4 linked regions of the Drosophila melanogaster genome follow. The protein of the gene in region 1 interacts with the protein of each later gene in a pairwise test. Each region holds a gene or a part of one and is shown in the gene's direction. Other genes may lie near its edges.

Region 1 (6,142 bases):
GTTTTAATCAACGCTACCTCAGTGTATAAAAGTTAAATCTTTAGCTTTCCTTGCTTTTTTCGCAACAAATACGTGGAATCGGCCAAGGACATCAGGGGTTAACTGGCGATTTGCACGCACACTCGAATGGTTCTCAAGGATTTTCAGGTTGCCCTACTGTGTCGAAAGCAATACTGTCCTTGAAATACCCTTTCACTTATAAAATACCCTTATTCCTATTTAATTATTAAACTTAATTACTTGAAATTCTCTTATTCTCGTAAAATAAAATGTAAATAGCTTTTAATGGAGTATATGCACAGATTTCCTGGAACTGTGTCTTTATCAATCAATTTTTAATGAGGAAAAATATATTGTTTTATTAGCTTGTTATGTGTTTGTTTTTTTAATTATATAGATCTTGCACACACATCTATGTATGTACATACATATGTACATATAGACTTGTTGTGTACAATCATTTTTAAAGAATTATTTTTTACGTTGTTTTGTAAATCGCTGATGGCTCTTTTAAAATCGTCGATTTGCTTATGCAACTCATTGACTGAAATACCAGACGAACTGGCTGCCACAACTTGAGCAAGGACCTTGGGGCAGGGGCGTGGTTAGCTGTACACTGAAAGAAATTTTAGTGACTTAGCATGTAGCTATGGGGGTAAGTAGCAACTTCGCTCTTACCTTCACATTGAATGGGACACCGACAACATTGTTGGGTTAGTTGCCCCACCGCTGTCAAGGACACGTGCCACAGGAAGTTCAAAGAGTTTAAGGCGAAAGTCCGACAACCGGAAAAAATCAATAATGTCGTATACACGGGGTGCAAATGTACATATGTGTATGTACATGAAAATGACTGCCCCAGCACGTGTCAGCTTATAAGGGGGCAGGATCCATTAAAAATTACCTCGCGGGACTGGACGAATATCGCGTGATTTTCGTGGAAAACCCGCTGCAATTGGTTGCCGGCCTTGTGGGAGTGGGAGCTTCTCCATTCACCATTGTTTGATCGATGTCTGGACTCCATTAACCGGGTTGTTGTTCTACGTTCGTGCCATCAAGACATTGCGAGTTGACTTAGTCCCGCAATTCCCCCACTCCAATTCCACGGGCGGCGATGGCAATTGATGTGGAATTTCAATACTAACATTTGACATAATTCCTATTTATTTGCGCTTAGCTCACGTGCACTTATGTATGTATGTATGTTTACCAGGTGGCATGACCTTCGTGCCAGTGTGGTTTTGATAACGATTTACGATAATGGCGGAAAGTCCTTTTTTATGCATATGTACGTAGTATTGGGAAGAACTTAAGCATGTGGATTTTGTGTCACCGACCATCCAACTTTAATTAATATTATTTTTATTCTTATTTACTTATAAATTTTTCACAGTAATAAAATAGGAACATTTAGTACTTATTTGTAATTTTGTCATGAAATTATAAAAATACTACCTGGTTCTTTCGCATGTATTTCAAACTGATAATATTTCGTTTTCCAAATAATGTGACAATTATATTTTCTATTCATCGTTCATATTTAATAATTTGGTTTAATTAGCTGAAAAACCCAAAACATAAAAATCCTTATCTAACGTGCGACCACTTTTTAAGCGATGTATTCAATTATCAACTGTACTGACCCCCATTTCCCCAGAAGGTGAATCAGCAATATTATCAAATTCCGCGTAACAAGCCGTCTTGAATGTCAGAGGTCCTCCGCCCGGAAAGTGAAAGCTGCTCCGGAATGCTGAGCACGAAGCAAGTGAGTCACGGCATTGAGACTCTGCCGCAGTGGAAATTAATGCCACAACAAATGCCGGCGCAGGATATTATCCTTTTTCCAGGAATCGTACGCTGATTCAGACCCCCCAACCGCATGGGTGGGAGTGGGGTCTTAAATGGATAGCTCGCAGCCACACACACAGATAGTTAGTGCTCACCGTGCTGTTTCATTCATAAAAGCTGAAAAAGCTTTTCGGAGGCAGTCGCTCGTGGAGATGAGTCACATGTGAAAGACACTGAGATAAATGACGGAAGTTATTTTTTCCATTTATATTTTACTTTTCGTAAATATGCATATATAGTTGGAATATTCGGCTATTTAAACGAATCTCACATTGAAAATCGAATTCTTGATGATTGGTTACCATACAGTTGAATTCTCAATATTTAAGAAAAACAAAATATTTATATTTTCCGATTCCTTTGGGATGCTCCTAATAAAAAGATATGCATTTTCAATTAATTAGGTATTCCTTCAATATAATACGTGTTATAGATTTAAAAGGTGACACATTTTAAAAGCTTTTGAAAGAAACAACTGGCCTGCATTCCTACTAATCGGTATCAGTCAGATAAAAACATTTATATTATATGTATGTATATATTGTTTCGCCTTTATGCAATCATCGCGTATTCCTCGAAACTCGGATTTGTGGAAGATGTGGACATCTGTAAGCTATAAGTCGCAAGTGGAAAACTTCAATCGTACGTGACTCAGCACATGCTGATCTCGCACTCTTCGCCAAGCTAGGCTCTTCGGATTGTCTCTCTTCTGAGCTTAAGTCGAGACTGCAAAGAGCAGAGCTTGGGGCCGACTACTTAACTCCGTTGAAAGCTTCGCGATCTGCAAGTTTTGCGGTATTTTTCAGTGGCGCATACGGTATTGAAAGTTTGGCTCGCCTGTTTCTTCTTGGTGGGCAGTTAGTGTTCAAATCGCGGGCGTCGAGATCGGTTGGTAGTGCGTGTGTTACGGGTATTTTATCTCCACCTCCAAATTGTGCCTTATTTACCTTTTTCGCTGTGCTTTAAGCTTCCGCTCTCTTTCGCTCTTCTGGAGCTCGAAGGCAGGTTGAAATACCAGTAGATAAAAATAAAACGAAAAGTAAAAGAGCTGCATAAAAACGCATAAATTCAATTGAGCTCTAAGCAAGTTTCACTTGCTTTTTCGTATTACGAGTGACAAAAAAAAGAGACCCACCAATATAACGGAGGAAAAAACAAAAATAAAAAACTCGGCGCACGTATTGATAATTTCTATTAAAACTGAACGTTTACCGATTAGATTACACGGCACATCGACACTTTAACCACAAACATCGCAAGAATAACCAAAGAAAATGGAGGGCAGAGCGCGATAACAAATTACCCTAAATTATAAATCGAATAAATCGAAAAACAAAAACAAAAGGTAGTCGTACGTCGATGATCGCATAAGCATAAAGCCCGGAATTCCCTAGAAAAAATCGACGTCACGCGCTCTCTCGCGCTCTTTGCCCACTCTCTCTTTCTTCGGACTTCGATTTCTTAACTTTTCATTAGTTTCTGTTCGAACTGTTCTCCCCCATCCGTTGTTTTTGTCGTTATTATCGATATTATCGCACCCGCTTTGTGCGCGCGCAAAAGTTAAAAAAGAATAAAATAAGAAGAATCAGAAAGAGAGAGAGAGAGAGAGTGAGTGAGAAAGGGAGGGAAGAATAAATTATTTATATATAAAAAATAATAAATAAACCGGTTCCTGCCGTGCGTGCTTGTGTATGTGTTAACATTAACATGAAAAAAGCGCCATATTTCTCAACTATAAATAAATGGCTTATTTAGCTCGCTGTGCAACGGACTAATTTTCCAATTAACACAATAAGAAACTTAACAAATAATGTACATAAAAGTGTACTAATTGGTTCGCGTTGAATTTCAGGTGTCCGATTTACTTAGCAAACCCAGTGATATCAATGCATATAAGCGAGATTTCAGATCACTCCTTGACTTAGGTGAGTCCCCCTATAGAGCCTAGCTTAATTTATTGATTCTGAACATTGATTGCACGGATTAATAAAGTGCGGTGGAAAATCCTAATGGCTGCGTTTTGCGAGAAGGGTCTTGATATTTTAATAAATATGTACACAACTATTGCTTCCAAAGACGCAAAATGTCATTACAAAGAAACGCATCTTGCATTAAACATATTAAAAATATAACCTTATTGAGTCATTGGACGCCTTATCGTTTCGGAACAATGTTTACAGCAACAACATCGTGATTTATCAACCATTATTCACACTTTTAAGGTTTGATAAACCAAGACTGGTCACTTTTCTCGCATATTAATATTTTTCATCCTAAATAGTTTTAACATTTTGACAATGTTTAAAATTCCTGGATGCTAAGATTTGTAATAGCTCACAATTTCTGCATGACAAATAATAGTTAAGATGTTAAAAAAAAACTATTAGAACGTATTCAATCCTTTGTAGTGTAACCGCAGTTGTTGTTGTTGTGTTTTTTGGGTGGCAATTATCCACCTGCGTATTAAATAATCTACGGTGAATGCAAACGATAAACTTAAATAATACAACCGAAACACCTGTGTACATGGCAGCGCAGTCGCAGTGGCTTTTCGACGTCGCCATAAATGAAAGTTTCTTACGGGCACGTGGGTGGGCGAGGGGGGCCGTGGGGCCCAGAGGGGGTGGGGCTCGTGGAAAAGCTTTTGCCCCTTGTATTTATTTATTTTTTGCTGCCACTCAAATACGCCGGAGAGGTTTTCAATTGTTTCATTCTAAGATCGACTCGATGCGCCTGCGGTCGTGTTTGCGCTAACATTCTTTTATTTTTATTAAATATTTTTAAAATTCCCTAACGGTTCGATATTATTTTTAAGTAATAATTTGAAAAGTACCATTTTGAAAGAACAAACTGCGGTTAGTGTGCGTTTTGTGGCCCAAATAAAAGCAAAAAGTGAAACCGAATTCGTCATGAGTGTTCACTGGTTCTTGGTTTGATTCGCAGGTAATTATGAAGAATGAAGAAATGCTTTTAGCTGCTAATACGGTGTAAACTCGAAAAGTGCAACCAAGTTAAATGCAAACCGTGTGCTGACTCATAACATCAGACTCTCGTCTCCGGGACCAAAGAAAATCAAAGCGCTAAAATCGCTCAACTCGTTTCCAGCAAGTCATCGGCGATTTACAAAGCTCGAGTAGAGATTTGTGTGCTAACAGAGATCTAAGGCCAAGTCAATAGATAATATTGGTTATATCTACTGGTAGTTTCCCCGTATGCTAAATCCGAGTCATGATTGATACACGATCTGGCTGTGGGTAAGGCCCTCCGCTATGCAAATCATCAATCAATAGGGATTCTATTTTAGGCGAATATCATTTAAACCACTCGATAAGAAAGATCGTGGCCGTTATAATTGGAGATACGGATAAGATATGTATCTGCATTTTTGCCGGAAGTCACATGTGCACAATAATCCCTGATCGGCTAATTTAACAAACATTGTTTGGTGTGGAAAATAAGGATAATGGACTTGTATTCATACGATACAAAACATAGCTTTTGGCAACTAGTTCCATCGATTTGTCAGCATATCGGTTATTTATTTTTATTTGAGCTGTAAATTGCTTGACGCCAACGATCGTTAAAAAACATTTGTCTGTCTGGAGTTCTTGTTTTTTTTTTTTTTGCGGAACCCGTTTCACTGAGGAATTTTTGGCTGCTTCTGATGCTTTGATGTTGATCTTAATCTTAATTTGTGGTGCTGGCGCCAAAAGAACTTTTTTCTGTGTGTCTTTGCTATTGGAAATTGCATAAAATTAGCATGTTAAATGATCGAAACGAAATGTTCATTTTATTTTGTTTACTTACCTTTTTTTTTTATTTTTCGCCAAAAGTAGTTATCGTTGAACGAGTAGAACGTTATTTTATTAATTCATTTTATGGCTTAACAGCATAGACTTTTTTCTTTTGAATTTATCGTGTGGATTTTTGCAAGACATGGTGAAAATTAATAGCTAATCAAATAAATTATTTATTGTTTTGAGCAAACGAAGGGCAAAACCATAGGAAATTCCAATATAACTCCCCTGCAAAACACTTAAACCAAAAACCATCTATCGATACATTCTCAGGCCATCGTCATTTAGATTTATTTTTATATTCTTATCTTACTTTTGGTTATCTTTGAGTTTTTTTTTCGGATTTTCTACGCTCAACACCTGAGCGTTATCAGTCTGAATGCCGCAGGTTCTATCTGACGGGAATAAACGGTGGCAAATTTGTGTGGTTGCAAATGGTTCTAATCTCAATATAGCTGCGGATGAAACCATCGTAAATAGTGTATTGCAATTAAATT
Region 2 (6,241 bases), on another chromosome or scaffold:
TCGTCACAGTATTGGGTACAGTGCTGGGTTCAGTACTCGCTATAGTACTCGTCACAGTACTGGGTACAGTAGTAGGTACAGTACTGGCTTCAGTACTCGGTTCAGTACTCTTTATAGTGCTCGTCACAGTACTAGGTACAGTACTTGGTATGGTAACCTGTTCAGTACTAGGTAAAGAACTCGGCTCAGCACTTTGCACAGTACTAGGCACCGTACTGGCTACAGTACTTGGTACAGTAATTTCTTCAATCCTAGGTAAGGTACTAGATACAGTACTAGATAAGGTAGTAGATACAGTACTGGCTAAGGTACTAGGTAAGGTACTAGATACTGTACTAGGTAAAGTACTAGATGTAGTACTAGATAAGGTACTAGGTAAGGTACTAGAGACTGCACTAGGTAAGGTACTAGAGACTGTACTAGGTAAGGTACTAGAGACTGCACTAGGTAAGGTACTAGAGACTGTACTAGGTAAGGTACTAGATATGGTACTGGGTACGGTACTGGTGGAAGGTTCAGTACTAGGTACTGCAACAGGTTCTGTGCTAGGTTCAGAACTAGGTACAGTGCTCGGTACAGTAGCAGTTGTAGTGCTAGCCACAGTGGTACTACTATCACTAGAAGTACTTGTCGAAGCGGTTGTATCCTCATCTTCGGTGTTCTCGGCAATCCAACCTGTGAACCAAGGTACATTGGCGTAGACATCTGGTTTGGTGGTGCAGCCGCCTTCGGATAGAATGCCCACGAGTTGTCCATCTATCACCAAGGGAGCTCCCGTATCGTAGGAGCATCCTCCGGCGCCATTATGAGTGCAGAGGGTAAGGTACGAGATGCCATTGTCCCAGAGTCCGAACCAAACACCGCGATCCGCGGCGCACTGCTCCCGATTGTAGACGCTGACCCATGCCATCTGCAGATAGTCCGGCAGACTGCCGAAGCACCTGTCCCACCAGCTGCCCCACCAACTGGTGGATCCCCAGCCGGAGACAGTGCACCACGAACCATCGTCCGGTTCATCCTCTGCTATGCTGATGGGCTGAATAGCTTCGGAGGTCTTGAGCGGATCGCACAACTTCAACAGTGCCAGATTGTTATCGAAACGCCAGCAATTGTACTGCGGGTGATTAATTATTTCACAGACTTCGAGCAGGAATCCAGTTCCATCATAATCGCGGGAACTGGTGCCCACGCGTACTTCAATTGAACCGTAGGACTGGACACACGAAGCTGCTGTGATGATGGTGTCTGATGTGATGATCGCCCCACTGCATATTGCTGTGCCATCTATTATTACTTCCGCCTGGTACGGGGCATCTTCAATATCCACATCATAACCTCCAATGATGCGGCTTTGGGCATCCAGATCACCACGAACCGGCCGTAAAAGAGCAGCCAACAGAAATAAGAACACACTCCAAATCATTATAAACAACTGATTTTTAGAGCTGCATGTGCGACTCTTTTTATAGGAAAAGTTAAGTCGTTTTCAAGGCTAGAGCTCCTTATCTGCAAAGTCATACCTCAAATTGAGTGATGGCTTTACTTCGAAGCTCTATCAAAATAGGAAGTATTGCGTATTACTTGCACTAATCTGCACATAGTCATAGCTCGAAGGCAAAGTATTTTTTAACAATTAATTGGGAGAACGCTTAAGTTTACTTTGTATGATTATGCAGCCAGTCCTTGTACTTTATAAGATTGATATAGACTTCTGGATACTCCGAACAGCCGCCTTTCGTTATAATGCCGACCAGTTTGCCATTGTGGACCACAGGTGATCCCATCGCTAAAGAGCAGGCTTCCTTAGCGAACTTCTCGGTGCAGAACAAGTCATCTGTAAAATTCTTTTTGGACCAATTGTTTCGCGCCCACAGATCTGTGCACTGGCTAGGGCCAAGTAGCTTCACCTCGGCCTTCTGCAGCTTGTAGGCTTCATCATCCAGACACTTCTTCCAATACATTGCCCACCACCTGAAGGAGGGCCACCCGTTGGCCGTGACCTTTGCCCCATTAGACGGAAGCTGGTTGGCCAACTGAATTGGCTGGATCGTTTTGGAGGCCTCGAGCGGTTCGCACAACTTTAATATGGCCACATTGTGAAATACTGTCTGGCCGGTGAACTTTTCGTGAACTGTAATGTTGCAGACTGCTACTTCGATGACTCCATCGCTGCGCGTAGTGCTACCCACTCGTACACGGATCACCTTGTTCAGGAATCCATCCACACATTTCCCGGCTGTCACAATGTGACTCAGTTTGTATATCGCTCCGTCGCACTTGGCCTTTTGTTTGATCGAAATGGAAGCAATCCATGGCGCTGTGGTTATGTTCACGGGATGACCACCAAGAGTCGTCCGGTTGCAGTCGTTTTCGTCGTCCTCTTCCGAATCTTCACCTGCACCCGTGTCACTTTTGGAAAGGACAAAGAGTGCAAGGAAAATTGGTAGAGATCGCAGAAGCATGATGCCAAATAAATGTGCATATAGCAGGCTGTTTAAATTTTATAGTATTGGCACAAAGCATAGCAAATTAATTTGTTTTACTTTACGGTGTGTTAAAATTTTTCTCACTTTAAGCCATTGTGCAATGTTCTTTATTCTGTGCTTTACAAATTCAAATATAGATCTACAGAAGGCAAGGTAATATTATCATTAAACTATTCACAGCAAGTAAGATATTAATCCTTCGTATTCGAGTCCAGCCAGTTCGTGTGCCCCAGGATATTTGCATAGACATCGGGCTTAATGGAGCAGCCCGCTCTGGAGAGGATGCCCACGAGCTTGTTGTCGATGACCAGAGGCGAACCCCTGTCTGTGGAGCAGGCTCCCTTGCCCGGCGACTTGGTGCAGATGGTCAGGTCTGAGATTCCCTTGAGTAAGTAAAATGGTATGACTTTCCAGTCGGCGGCGCACTGTTTTTGGCTAAGGATCCGCACTTGAGTGCCGTGCAATTGGACAGGCAGCTGGAAGCACTTCTCTTCTATTCCGCTGCTAATCCTCTAAGTCTAAGATAAGGTCAAGGAAATTGCCTGATCTGCCACCACAGCCAGTCACATTGGCTCGAGAATTATCATCCGGCACTTTGTCGGCCCTCTCAATTGGCTTTATTTCATCGGTGGTGTTGAGTAGCTCGCAGGTTTTCAAGAGAGCCAAGTTATTGTCAAAGCGCCAGCTGGAGTACTGGCTATGAACTTTGACCTTACAGATTCCAGCAATTGATCCACTAGTGCCGCAGCTGCTGGTTCCCAACCTGACTTGTATGCTCCTGGCGCTGTAGCCATCCACACACTTGGCGGCAGTCAGGATGTAGTTCTTCGAGATAATGGCACCACCGCACTTGAGCTTCGAATTGACTATGATGGAGGCATACCACGGTGCATCCTTAATGTTGACAGTGTTTCCGTTTATGATCCGCTGATCTCCGAGAGCCAACCAAGGCAGAGCCACAATCTGCAGGAGGATTAGTGGGGCTAACATTCTCTTTAACTGACTTTCGTGAAGGGCGTGCTCCTCTTTTTATGGGATTCTTTGTTAATTAAACGGAATAGCTTTGGAATACTCTTCTTATCTACCTTTCGAAGAATCTATTTTGTAATGTAAGAAGAATATGTATTACAATGTATTACAATCCATATTGGCATTTGAAACATTTTGAATGATAAATACGCCCTGTGCGCAATCGATTGAATATAAAACCGAACTATTATACGTTCAATTGCCAATTGGGGTAATCCACATATATGCCCAAATTATAAAGTATAATTTAAGCAGCCGCATCGATTCTTTTCGCTTAGAGCGGCTTTGTACCCGTCCTCCGATTTGAGACAAAACTCACCAGCCATTACACTAAGCCGCTTAAATATTTGAATAATTCCTGCAGAGTAAAAAAAACGTGGGTGACTGAAATATAGCTGGACATTTCCATCAAGCGATATTTGCATGTATTTATGCAATTTTACATGAATGCAGATTTAAATCTGGGCAATGTTTAGCAAAATGTCGAAATAAATACTTTCATGGAGGAAAGTGGCAGGAGAGAGCTGGCGAGGGGCAAGGGGCATGGGGCATGGGGCAAGTAAACAAACATTTTGATGATTCGCCATGTCAAGTGGGTCGGTTTCGCAGCCAGGCAGGCGGATTAAAATGGATTACAACTGAATTATTTGATAATGTCCCAGCAGATGCAACACATCGCATTGCTTTCGCCCCGAATCGCATTTAATTTTTATCAATGTGAAAATCATTTTTGGTTGCTGGGTTTTTTATTACCATTTTATTGGGTTTTTTCGGCGGGCTGAATCGTGTTTTCAATTTGCCCCTGGATCTACGTTTTCTTTTGTCAAATATTGTTTGGGTGTGCTTTTTTTAGCTCTATTTAATTGATTTTATTTACGCAAAATCAGGAAAGCTTGCTCGCTTTATACGAGGCTTTAATTAATTTAGTTAATGGGATATATTCGCGTACTATTCATGATCTTTTGTTAAACTGTTATGCTTGAAAAAAAAGGATTAATTATGTTAAAAGCAAGTGCCTTTCTCACCATTTTATAATATTCAACAGATTTGCTAAGCAAGGCCACTTTTCAAATGACCTCAATTGGTTTTTTTTGCTGGCCTAATGAATATTTCAGTTTTGGCAACATCGCTAACGCCATAGACGTCCATCGATGGCCATTTCCAGCTCGATCCAGCTGCTCCTCCATCTCAATCAGCCTTTGGCTCATACATAACCCAGTAAATCCTTTTCCAGCTCGATGGCATCGTTGCCAATTTTCACACCAGCGACAATTACTCAAACCGTTGGCAACAACAAAAACATGGGTTACCACTGTCCTCGTCCTCGCTCCCTTTTCCCTGACCCGCTTTTCCCGGACTTTTCCCGCCCGCCCCCGCAGTCACAGCTCGCCACTCGGAATCGAGGGAGCCGGCAAAACAATCGTTGACAAAAATATTTGCATGCACTCTGGGTGCACTTGTCCGAATCGCCGTGCTGGGGATGCAGCTGCTCCTCAGCGCTGCTGTGCCGCGTGTGTTGCCATCGGCGGCGGCGCATTAAATATGCAACACCTATGACAGCAAGCCGCTTGACATTTGGATCCGAAGGCACGGGACTGGAGACCCATTCCAGTTTTAAGCTGGAACTAAAGTTTTGCCGACAATTTGCAGCTAAATTTGTCAAAAAACCAGAAACTTGGCCGGCTGAGAAATTATGACTTCCGCAATTGTTGGGTGGAACAAAGGGAATCCAGCGCAGTGCCAAAGTGTGACCGACCCGAAACAGTTCAAAAGGCAACTGTTGCTCTTGAACCTTTGGAAAATCCACCGCTTCAAATGCCGTTACACCCCCCGCCCCCCACACACGGCAAAGTTTTCAAATAGAAAATGTTTAATTTCCCCAAAGACAACGTCGATGCTGCTGCTGCTTTCCCGAAAACGCAGCGTTTTCCCACCCAGGCCAAGGAAACTTTCTTACATATTTTACAATAGATCTTCGTGTGTGTGAGTAAGAGTGTGTATGGGTGTGTGTGTGTGGGTGGGTGCAACAGTGCAGCCGAAAAAGTTTCTCCTTTCCCGGGCGGAAAGTTAGCTAAGACAAACGCCCCGAAAATACCCACATCGCTCAGTTGCCAGCGCCCATCGCTGAGCTTCCGGGTCGAACTTGTTAGTTTGCCATATAGCGTCGAAAATTATATTATTTTAAACTTTTCAAATGTCACCAGAGAGTCAGAAATTTCACCGAAAGTCGGTGACAAACTCCTGTTGTTGCGACTCTCCTTCATTGTGTTCGTTAATTAAACATGTTGTCCCCACGACGCGCACAATAAATCGAACTCAGTGCGGGCAAAAAAAAAAGGGAAAATTGAAAATTAACTGCATTATCTGATCGAACGGGGTAATTAAATGTGGCAATCATTTCGGGTCGATCAAACGCCTAGTAATGCCATCGATGGCATTACAAGTTCCAAAAAACATGCAGTTATACATTTTATAAATGTCAGCCATGTCCGCTCCCCAAAGCCATTTGATTTAATAAATATCTTTAAAACTCTATTGTTTGCCAAAAAATCATTTTATAGACATTGTTCAATTTGAATTTGATTTTTGTCATGATATATATACCGCTCTATTGCACTATTGTTTACTGGCAACTTTATTTTATTTCATATAGTTTTGTGTAGTATTCGATTTGTTCTGCTTTCTTCTGGAGTTCCACATTTTCTGACTTCTTTTGAAGTCGTTAT
Region 3 (6,144 bases), on another chromosome or scaffold:
GAGTAGCATAGTAAGAGTAAAATGACTAATACATAATAAACTAATTTAGTATTTAAATACTTGAAATTTTATCAAGACTTATGTAAACCTATTTATTCAAATATTTACAGAGGAAATTCGTTTCATTGAAACGCCTCCACAACGAATCGTTTCTAAGGAACACGACTTAATCTTCTTGCATTGCGAGGCCGCCTTTGATGAACTCCTCGACATTGCTTATGTTTGGAAACACAACGGCGAAGTCCTAAAAAACAATCACGACGGCACCGGACGCATTGTAAGTTAATGTTCTGAAATCTGCACTAAACCTGTCCTTATATTAACCTTTTTGTTATTGCAGATTGTAGATTGGAACAGATTGACAGTGCATAACACGAGCATGCGCGATGCCGGGGACTACGAATGCGTTGTCAAGTCGGCGGTAAACGAAATTAGCAGCAAGACCAGTGTTTCTATTGAGGGAGCTCCTGGCGCTCCTGGTGGTGTTCAAGTCATACAGATAAGTAAAACGAAGGCCATCATTGAGTGGGTGGACGGATCGCACAACGGTCGTGCGATCCGCTACTACAACATCCTAGGCCGTACAAACTGGAATCGCACCTGGGTTAATGTGTCGACCCATGTGCAGGCGCGAGAAGTAGATCGATACACCTCTCGCCAGCAAGCCGAGGTTGTCAATCTGACGCCGTGGTCGGCTTACGAATTTAGTGTTACTGCTGTAAACGATCTGGGAATCGGAACGCCCTCGGCCCCCTCGCCAATTTACAGCACCTATGAGGACAAACCATACATAGCCCCGAGGAACGTGGGTGGTGGAGGTGGAAAGATTGGCGACCTAACTATCACCTGGGATCCGCTTCTACCGCAAGAGCAGCATAGCCACGGCATACACTATAAAGTGTTTTGGAAGCTCAAGGGAGCCATTGAATGGGCATCTGACGAAATAAAAAAACAGGATCACATGGGCGTGGCTGTGGTTAATATTCCTCTTAATAACTACTATACGGAGTACGAAGTCAAAGTCCAAGCCATTAACAGTGTTGGCAAGGGACCGGAGAGTGAAATAGCTGTCATACACTCCGCTGAGGACATGCCACAGGTGGCTCCTCAAAAGCCCATTGCGCTCGCCTACAACTCCACATGCTTTAATGTCACTTGGCAACCTATAGACATGTCCCGTGAAAACATTCGTGGCAAACTCATTGGCCACAGGGTATGGTTACTGCACTTAATTCCATTGCATTGTCAAAAACCCTTATCTTTCACCAGTTGAAGTATTGGAAAACGACGCACCAGGAAGAAGACTCGGTATACTACCTGTCACGTACTACAAGGAATTGGGCGCTTATCGTAGGTCTACAACCAGATACTTACTACTTTGTTAAAGTCATGGCTTACAATGCTGCAGGTGAAGGACCTGAAAGCGAACGCTTTGAAGGTGTGTAACGAACAGTTTAAAAAACCATTTAAAGAAAATGCTTAAACACCATGCTTTTTAGAACGAACATATAGAAAGGCCCCGCAAAAGCCGCCATCTTCGGTTCACGTGTATGGAATAAACCCGTCTACCGTGCGGGTTGTTTGGAGATATGTTTCACCTTCGCAAGACGAGGAACCAGTAGAGGGTTATAAGGTACAACTCCCGGCACCGTGACCAAGAAAATCGATTACAGTTTGAAACTTTCTAGGTTCGCATTTGGGAATCGGACCAGAACATGATTACGGCCAACAATACCATAGTGCCAATCGGACAGAAACTGGAGTCGTACATCAACAATCTGACGCCAGGGAAGAGTTACAACATGCGAGTCCTCGCATACAGCAATGGAGGAGACGGTCGCATGTCCAGTCCAACTTTACACTTCCAGATGGGCAAGACCACGCGCAACGGCGCAAATACCCGACATGGCCACAATATCAATACGGCTCTTATCTTAAGCACATTGCTACTCATTAGCACCTTTCTTTACACAAGCCAATGAATGCAGCACAAATTAAGATCCATAACTTTAGGCAGTAAGAACATACATATACTAAGAAGTGACCTTATATTTGAGTAAGTGAAGTTATAAAAAGAACTACATTCCATCCGTGCTCTCTTGCAAGCCCCTTAATTGATACAAATGCAATTCCGTCCATTTTATAGACTTTTATCAAAAAATAATTTCTAAAATTTTATCAACAAAATAAATATGAATACCATTATATGGTCCAGTATGTTGCTGAACTAAAAATAACAATATCCCTATTTTTTTACTTGGAATAATGAATTATGAATTAATTATGAACGTGTGCCCCGGTTGGCCATATTTATGTCCCTTTTTGTTCACCTGGTAATACTACTCCTGCATTTTATACCCGATACTCGTGAAGTAAAAGGGTATACCAGACTAGTTAAAAAATATGTAGCAGGTAGAAGAGGTCTTGATCAGGATCGATCTGGCCATGTCCGTCCCTATGGACGTCGAGATCTCAGAAACTATCACAAATCAAAATTAATTATTGTCCAAAAATATCAAAAAGAACTAAGAACTAAGTGTTTATTTTTGGTTTTTCGATTATTTATTTTGCTGCTATTTCATCGCCCGCGTAAAACGGGCGGACATGGCTATATCGACTTGTCTGTTTTTACTGATTAAGAATATTTAATACTTATATATATGTATACGTAAATGTCTATTCGAATTTCCTTTCTACCAGGTACCCGGTATTCTTCTACAATTACAAACGAAAGCCATCTATCGGTGGGGTTACATTTATTGCTCACAACGCCGGAATATGTCATTAATGAAAAAAAAAGTTTGGTTTTTTCTTACTTTGCGTTAAAAATTAGTGCAGTATTGCAAATGGCTAGCTATTTTCCGCATACGGAAATACCACACAATACCAATCGGCTTCGGGAATCCCCCTAATATTACATGACGAATCTAATATGGTGCTGCGGTCCTCCTCGGTCACACTGAAATACTGCGAGCAGCGAGCAGTAGCTGTGGGCATTGGCAAAAACATAGAGAGAGAAGATAGATGCAAACATGGTTTTATAGCGGAAATCTCATACAATCGCACTGGACATCTGGGAACTTGAACCATCGACCTGCCACAGGCAAAGGCTTTCCCGTAAGGTTATCCTGGGTAGCTAAGGGAACACCATGGCGTATGGCTGGAACGGATGCGGAATGGGCGTGCAGGTGAACGGAAGCAACGGCGCCATAGGTTTATCCTCGAAGTATTCTCGCAACACGGAGCTGCGACGCGTTGAGGACAATGACATTTACCGGCTTGCCAAAATACTAGATGAGAACTCATGCTGGCGCAAATTGATGTCGATCATACCCAAGGGCATGGATGTGCAGGCCTGCAGCGGAGCCGGATGCTTGAATTTTCCGGCGGAAATCAAAAAGGGATTTAAGTACACTGCGCAGGACGTGTTCCAGATTGACGAGGCTGCAAACCGACTACCGCCGGACCAAAGCAAGTCGCAGATGATGATCGACGAGTGGAAGACCTCTGGCAAGCTCAACGAGCGGCCCACGGTTGGGGTATTGCTCCAACTTCTGGTGCAGGCAGAGCTCTTCAGTGCGGCAGACTTTGTGGCACTAGACTTCCTAAATGGCAAGTATGACTATGTTTGCCTTAAACTGACAAAACTAAAAAAAGTGTATCCACTGACTTCTCTAGAGTCCACCCCTGCCCGGCCTGTTGACGGTCCCGGTGCGCTCATAAGCCTTGAGCTGCTGGAAGAGGAAATGGAAGTGGACAACGAGGGGCTGAGCCTCAAATACCAGTCAAGCACTGCCACTCTTGGGGCAGACGCTCAAGGTAGCGTTGGCCTGAACCTGGACAACTTTGAAAAAGACATTGTGAGGCGGGACAAGAGTGTGCCCCAGCCGTCAGGAAACACCCCTCCCATAGCGCCACCTCGACGACAGCAAAGGAGTACTACTAACTCCAACTTTGCAACATTGACAGGCACCGGAACTACGTCGACGACCATCCCGAATGTGCCCAATCTGACAATTCTCAATCCCAGCGAACAAATTCAGGAGCCAGTGCTGCAGCCACGACCGATGAACATCCCCGATCTGTCTATACTCATTTCGAACTCTGGTGATTTGCGGGCAACTGTGTCGGACAACCCAAGCAACAGAACTAGCTCAACGGATCCGCCTAACATTCCGCGAATCACTCTTTTAATTGATAATTCTGGAGATGTAAACTCTCGACCAAATCACGCTCCAGCGAAAGCTTCAACGGCTACCACATCAACGGCGAGCTCAAACAACTTGCCAATGATAAGCGCCTTGAATATAAGTAAAGGCAGCAGGGAGACCTTGCGTCCTGAGAGCAGAAGCAGCTCCAGCAGCTTGAGCAAAGATGATGACGATGATAACGATGGTGAGGAGGATGGAGAGGAAGAGTACCCAGATGCCTTCTTGCCAAATCTGAGTAACTCAGAGCAGCAGAGCTCAAACAATGACTCCAGCCTGACAACGGTTACTGGCACCAGTGGTGATAACAGCTTTGAGCTAACCAACGACTCCAGCTCCACCTCAAACGACGATTACGCTTGCAACATTCCAGACTTGAGTGAGCTGCAGCAATAGATAAAAGCACCGACCATCGGCGGAGATGACATTCCGTTCGATAACTTATGCAACCCAGATGTATTCATTTGGCAGCTGGGTGTGGACCTTCTTATGTTATGCATGAGGTCCAACTAGAATCTAAGATTCAGTGCACGATTTGTTCATATCACGTCTGTAATCGTGACAGTACATGACAAGTACGGCAATATCAAATATTTCCGTTTCAAGAAAGCCATAACCCAATACCAAAATTTAACAAATTTTGTATACTTACGAAATACTCCTTCATTTTCTAGTATAAATTTCCTTAAACGCATAATGGGTTTCTGTGACAGTTTTGTCTTGGGACAAACTGCGATCTTATGACATTTTTCGTTATTAATTGATTGTTGCCTAAAATATTTCACAAGTACGATATAATGGCTAAATACAAATAAAATATTTTTGAAAACATTGTCTGTTTTTCTCGACGTTCATACTGATAATATACCACATGACCGCTTAAGTCAAAGCCTTTTTCAGGGCTGTAAGTTCAAGAGTTTAAGGCGACTGTTTTTTCTCGGTGAAAAAACTTTAGGTTTTTCAAATGAACGAATGCATTTTGTATGTAATTTTTGTACTATTTTATTTATGTGCACAGGTTAGTTTCGTTTAGTTACTAAATTAATACACTGTTGTCCGTTCCAAAATGTACACTTACCTTTCTCCTCGGATGACATGTCCATTGCCTTTTCCGTATAACTGCAAATTTTTGATTTTAATTGTTTTATTTTTGTTGTTCGAAACAGCAAACAGTATTACTCCACATTTGCTCTAATGCCCCGTGCCCGTGGCACGCAGAATAGTCGATCTTCAAACTGCTGACAATTAAAAATGTCTCGCACCTTGTTTTTATTTAAATTCTCATTTGCTATGGCGGGCGCGGTACGATATTGGTCCCGTGCTATCGCGTACCATTCATAATATCGATATCTTAAGAACAATAATCGGGAATTTGTTGGACACCTCTAGTGTTCGACGAAACCACTGAGCCAAACAAAATCCGAAATTATTCGCAACATGGACGAGTCGGAGCTGCTATTCAATCTGTTTTATATTCTGTTGTGCATGGTGATCATCTACCCGCCAGAGGAGTTCCAACGCCTGGGATTCACCATTGAACAGTTGTTCGCTCGGTTCCTGGGAGAAGAGTACCTGGACTTTGTAGGCTACCACCAGCGCCGTACTTCGCTGAATCTCTTCGTGCACTCCTGTCTGCCCTTCTCCTACTTTCTTATTCATAGGCTCAAGTTCTCCGTCTTCGCCACGCAGGAGCCCTTGGAGGACTTCGACCTGGACCCGGATTTCCCCATGCCCCAGGAAGCGGTAGCGTTTAAAACGCTTACGTGGAAAACCGCCCAGCGGTTCAGTGTGTTGGCCGTTCTGGCGATGCCCGCTCTGATCTTCAACTGGCACCAGGAAAACTGGCGTCGGCACCCGATCAGCAAGGCGCTCTCCAAGTACTCCATCACGCCGGGCAGCTACAGTGCCGTGGCTAGCGAAATTGGTATAGAGTTCC
Region 4 (5,003 bases), on another chromosome or scaffold:
ACTTACGAAATAGTGCTAATGGGTTATCCTTTAACCAGGCGCTTCAGATTGGTAAAGAGCCGCAACGTGAAGTGGTAGATCATTTCCACAAGACTCAAGATGGAGAACCCCATGAATAGACCGAAAATGCCACCGCAATTCGCCAGAAACTCGGTCATTCCGTAAAGCTCCGACCGCTTTGAAGTGATGAACTGACTCTGCTTGAAGTAAATGGACAAGCGGGACATCTGGGAGCCGGGATACTCCTTCAGGAACTCAGTGTCGCCCTCAGCCACTAGCATTTCTTCCAAATCAAAGTTGGCCTGGGAAATCTCCGTGTTGTAGACGAGGGATGTGCATGCTGGCATGCAGTTACAGGCAGATTCCACGCTCCGCGAATTTTCTCGGCCAGCGTTCAGCGCTTTTACTCTTTTGAATTCCCTGACTAACAACTCCCTTTCTGCCCGATCGTAGCAGTGGATCTTGTCCTCTCCGCATACAGGCATGTCCACGTTTCTGGGCATCGAGAACTTAACGCATCCGCACTTGGTCAGCGTGAAGTTGGCCAAGCACTCCAGTTGGCAATTTGATTCGGTGTACACCTTAAAAAAACGCAGCGACCGCTCGTGGCTGAGGAAGCACTGCCTCCGAACTGGATGGTACTCTGCTATTCCCGACGACATGGTGATCATGTTGGGCTTCACTGCGATCAGCACCTCCTTGCCCATGGGAATGCGCACAAACTGTTTGGAAACCTGCGGGACGTCATCGGGCGCATGAAGCAGTACCTGTAGATTGGCATTACTGTAGACACATATTGGAGCAAGAAAAAGCAAACAGCTACGTTTTCAAATTTTCCCACCTTAAATCCCTGCACAGGTCCTCGACAGGCGTAGTCCACCTCCTGCTTAAAGCTTTGGAGGGCCAAGAAAATGCCAGATCGCGCTCCGGCACTTAAGACACGAGCCGGAAAGGTCTCCACATCGCTGTCCAGTGCATAGCCCGTTTCCAGAGTCCAGGCCGTATGCTGCGAGCTAATATTTTCCATTTCCAGGGGCTCCCCGCTGTGTTGATACTGATAGGTGTCGTCCCGGTATATCTCAGTGGCTCTCAGCCCATTGAACGTATAGCAGATGCCCTCCTCCGTAAGAGTCTTTCGGAAGAAGGTCTCGCACTCGCCGAAACGACTAAGCCAGCGGCAGTAAAAGAAGTACCGATCAAACTGGGGCAGCATCCGCTGCAGAACATCAAAGTAGTCCAAGTCATCGCCGGCTATCAAGGGTATGTCCTCTTCAATGATCTGCGTGTTGCATACGTGCAGCAGGGTGCGGAACTCCTCCATCTCAAGGGCACTAACGTTTTCGGGCCTAAACACCCGCGAAGCTCGCATATCTTCGCTGAACTGGCTGTAAAGATCAGCATAAGTGGTCTCTTTTCCTGTCAGACAAAGGTTACATGTTAATATTCATAGTCTGTACAACTAGAGGCTTCCCGAATAACAAACCTTTCTGCTTTAGCACCCTTTTGGTCTCCGAGCAAACTGTGACCGCCGGAAACGGGATGTTCCACACGGGGGTCGATTTTTCCGCGAAGCTAACGATCACAGGCTTTAAAAAAACGCAAAATATTAGTTTTGTTGTCGGCTGAAGGCAGCAAGAGCACTTTTCATTTTACAGAAGACCCTGTAGTGTTCTTATATTTATAAAACATAACAGTTAGGGTGCATAATATATCGCATAATACATCGCAATTTTGAAGGATCTGTACTTTAAATGCTATTGTTTCAGAGAGCTTTTACTGATGCTACGTATATACATATGTATGTATGGTATGTTCTACTAGGGACTCGCACCGTTTCGGTCCACTTGGTGTAGGCACTTTGAATCAGCGTGGAGCAGCCGTAGATCGAGATCAGGAACACGAACAGCCAAAAGATGCGCTCGCGGAAGGGGCGCTCCTGCTCGCCAAGATATTGGACACCATGTATGGAAGTGTTCCTGCAGTATTCATGGTACGTGGTGATAAATCCTTCGCAGGCGACGGAACCTGCCTTCCTTCTCCTCCTGAATGTCAGGTCGATGCCCTTGCTGCTGTCGAGTTCCGAATCCGATATGGTCATGGTGTCTATTCCATTCTTGACGCGCACAAACACAGCTTCAAGTAATCCATGTGGGTTGGAGACGAAAACAACGTGAAAGACAAATGGCAAAACGAGAATTTTTTCCCGTTTCTTGGCAGACCTGCCAGATTGACAGGATCTTGGAGAGAACTTGCAAAAAAACGTTCGGATGGTGACAATTTAGCGATATATTTTACTTCCGAATTAAATTAAATTTTGTTGAAATTAACAAAAACGAAAAACAGGTACATATTTGCTGCAACTTTATTAATTGTCATTGTTAACACGTTATCCCAATTCATTATTTGCACATTCGCCTGTGTTGTTAAAAATTAAAACTCCAAAGAAAAATATTTCAAAACGCAGAAAAGTGGAAACGAGTTGAAAATCCAAATCCTCGTTACGCCTCGATATGTATCGATAACGAATGCTTCGTACACGATTTGTACTGTTTACTTAATTATTAAGATTCGTAATTATTTAAATTTATTTAAAATGGCGACAAGGTCTTGTGCGTACAAGGACTGTGAATACTATTACGTAGGCCACGAAAACGCGCTGACCAAAGGAAGAACCCTGTTTGCCTTTCCCAAACAACCGCAAAGGGCGAGAATCTGGCACGAAAACGGCCAAGTGCATCCAAAGATTCCCCATAGCCAGCTTTTTATGTGCTCCCTTCACTTTGACCGCAAGTTCATATCCTCCTCTAAGAACCGAACGCTCCTCGTCGGCGAGGCAGTGCCGTTTCCGTACGAGGAAAGCAGTAGCAAGCCGGAGGAGGAGCCCCAACAAGTGGCTTCCACTTCGCATGAGAGCTACTATATAAACCTGAGCGACGATGAGCTCAGCATCAACAATGTGGACACTACCTCAGTTACTACAAGTAAGTACTATAAATCCACCGGGCCTTCGAAATAGAGCGGGTTGGATTCATCATGTCGGTGTTGCATCTTAATGCTTTATTAACTTCTTTAACATTATTTTCAGTTGACGCAGTCCACGATAGTCCACCGCAGAAGCGCCCGAAGGAATCTTCCATTGTCATTGCTCTAAAGGAAGCTGTGAAAATGGAACCCAATCCGAATGCAGGCCGAGTTAGAGCAGAACCCGACAATATAGATACTACTGAAGTGTCTGTGTTCAACTTCAAGGGACAGGAGTACGTACAAATGTCTATGGAGTATTACTTGCAGGAAAAGCGGAAAATGGCTAAACTTTTGCAAGACTATAAAAATGCTTTAAGAAGCATTAAGAAACATATTTCCCACCTTGACCTTTAACTTTATCAATGTAATACATGTTGTTCTTCTGTCAATTTACTGAACGTTATCTTAGTTTAAAAGCACCTGACGAATTGGGAAACAAACCTAATAATTTATTTTATTATACTTGGAGAATAAATACTGATAAATATTAATTAATTTGTTACACTTTAAATTTCAGCATTTAATTTCTTTCGTTTAAACCTTAAATACCGCAAACAAATCTAAATTATACTCAGTATTATCTATTGGAAATATTTTTAAAGTATTTAGTTAAAATGTTTACTTTTACAAGCGCATTAAGATGGTGTTTGCCTAGATACTTTTAGCTTATGCGATACCTTAGCATTTGTAAATAAAATGAAATGGGTCCTCAACTAATCGCTGAGCTCCGGGGTATCTTCAATATCGCTGTCTACATCAATGTCGTCGCTCAGATCCTCGTCATGATCCTGCAGTTCTTCAGGCACGCCCAAAAGAAGACGTTTGCGCTGCAGCAGTGCTGCCCAGCTGAGACGAGTCTCACAAAGCGGACACTCTCCTCCAACTGGGATGTAATGACCTGGCTCGTCGCCCAGAAGGTAATTGGCCAGGCACACCATATGGCATGTCAGCCGACACATTTGATTTGTGCATCCCAGGCGGGATTTCTCCGGTTGCTCCATTTCCTGCATACAAAGGTGGCACTCGGAAGCCCACGCCACAGGTGGAGGAGGTACTGCATCATCAGGTCTCCTACGTTGTGAGGCACTAATGGAAACCTTGCCACTCACAATTTCCATGTGTTTAGGCAGTGCCTTGCTGAATGGCCTCTCGTAATCCGTTTCTAGCCAGCGAACGGTGAGCGGTAATCTATTCCAAGGGCCAACCCCCAGCATATTACTAAGGATCCTAAAGTTGTAGTCAAAGAACGTCTCCCTGGGCAGTTTTCGTTTTAATTCAGGGTACATTTTAAGCCTAGTTGAAAGCGACGGCTGTTGCCAAGCCCATTCAAACTGGAGTGCCACTGTATTATTCGGGAATCCGTGCACGATCATTACCATCAGCCACGGCCCTTTGCGACTGGTTTTCCTCGCGCCACCGAAATCACAACCAAGATTGTGTTGGCGTATCCGCCGTTTGGGGTTCACGGTGAAGCCCACGTAGCATTTTCCCCGGTAGCGAGGATCCAAGCTCTGACTGCATAGCAAATAGACGCCGTAGAAGTGGCCCTTCAGCGCGACGGATTCCTCCTGTTGAGAAGCTGTGTCCTGTGGGTCTGTGAATTCACCAACAGATAGATTAATGAAACTTGCTTTGTGTCTGCAACCAAAAACCAACGACAAAGGAGGCGACACCCTAACTAAAGCAATGAGATGAGGTTTTCAAGATTTTCTAAAATAAAAAAAGAAATAAAATTATTTTAGAATTTTAGTTTGGCTAAAATAGCTAAGAAAATAAGGTGTGTTAAGTGGTAGCTGTTTCTCAGCCAAAAAGGAAGATAATAAATGGAATGCAAAATAACTTGTTCCAGGTTCTTATACTATTTTATTGGTAAACTTTTAGTTGCCAGCGCTAGTTTAACTCTAGTTTTATGTTGGCCCCCGATGCCACGCCATTGATTTGCTGCTGCTGCTGGGGATTTCCAGGCTGTGCTTGGACAG

The links.
Region 2: the proteins of dl (region 1) and twi interact in a two-hybrid assay, tested with the Drosophila melanogaster proteins (2 studies listed by BioGRID).
Region 3: the proteins of dl (region 1) and tub interact in binary tests that used the Drosophila melanogaster proteins (3 or more experiments, as listed by UniProt).
Region 4: the proteins of dl (region 1) and Dlip2 interact in a two-hybrid assay, tested with the Drosophila melanogaster proteins (one study listed by BioGRID).

Annotation. Positions count from the first base shown.
Region 1 is NT_033779.5:17,446,927-17,453,068, reverse strand, and holds the start of dl (dorsal), read left to right. Parts: upstream 1-2,704; 5' UTR 2,705-3,193; intron 3,194-3,700; 5' UTR 3,701-3,773; intron 3,774-4,558; exon of another isoform or gene 4,559-4,791; intron 4,792-6,142. UniProt on the Drosophila melanogaster protein: Embryonic developmental transcription factor. The lateral or ventral identity of a cell depends upon the concentration of this protein in its nucleus during the blastoderm stage.
Region 2 is NT_033778.4:22,982,853-22,989,093, forward strand, and holds the start of twi (twist), read left to right. Parts: upstream 1-2,521; 5' UTR 2,522-2,639; exon of another isoform or gene 2,640-2,677; coding exon of another isoform or gene 2,678-3,476; exon of another isoform or gene 3,477-3,697; intron 3,698-6,241. Other genes in the region: CG32834 (uncharacterized protein), read right to left, coding at 1-1,423; CG32833 (uncharacterized protein), read right to left, coding at 1,656-2,462. UniProt on the Drosophila melanogaster protein: Involved in the establishment and dorsoventral patterning of germ layers in the embryo.
Region 3 is NT_033777.3:4,384,781-4,390,924, forward strand, and holds tub (tube), read left to right. Parts: upstream 1-2,961; 5' UTR 2,962-3,149; coding exon 3,150-3,612; intron 3,613-3,678; coding exon 3,679-4,604; 3' UTR 4,605-5,033; downstream 5,034-6,144. Other genes in the region: Cont (contactin), read left to right, coding at 111-277, 341-1,213, 1,270-1,438, 1,500-1,633, 1,689-1,982; CG14646 (uncharacterized protein), read left to right, coding at 5,646-6,144. UniProt on the Drosophila melanogaster protein: Plays an essential role in the Tl receptor signaling pathway that establishes embryonic dorsoventral polarity; the signal directs import of dl into ventral and ventrolateral nuclei, thereby establishing dorsoventral polarity.
Region 4 is NT_033777.3:4,643,159-4,648,161, reverse strand, and holds Dlip2 (dorsal interacting protein 2), read left to right. Parts: upstream 1-2,506; 5' UTR 2,507-2,593; coding exon 2,594-2,981; intron 2,982-3,085; coding exon 3,086-3,378; 3' UTR 3,379-3,513; downstream 3,514-5,003. Other genes in the region: rpk (ripped pocket), read right to left, coding at 24-767, 824-1,416, 1,484-1,586, 1,832-2,098; MED31 (mediator complex subunit 31), read right to left, coding at 4,915-5,003; nuclease slx1, read right to left, coding at 3,738-4,618.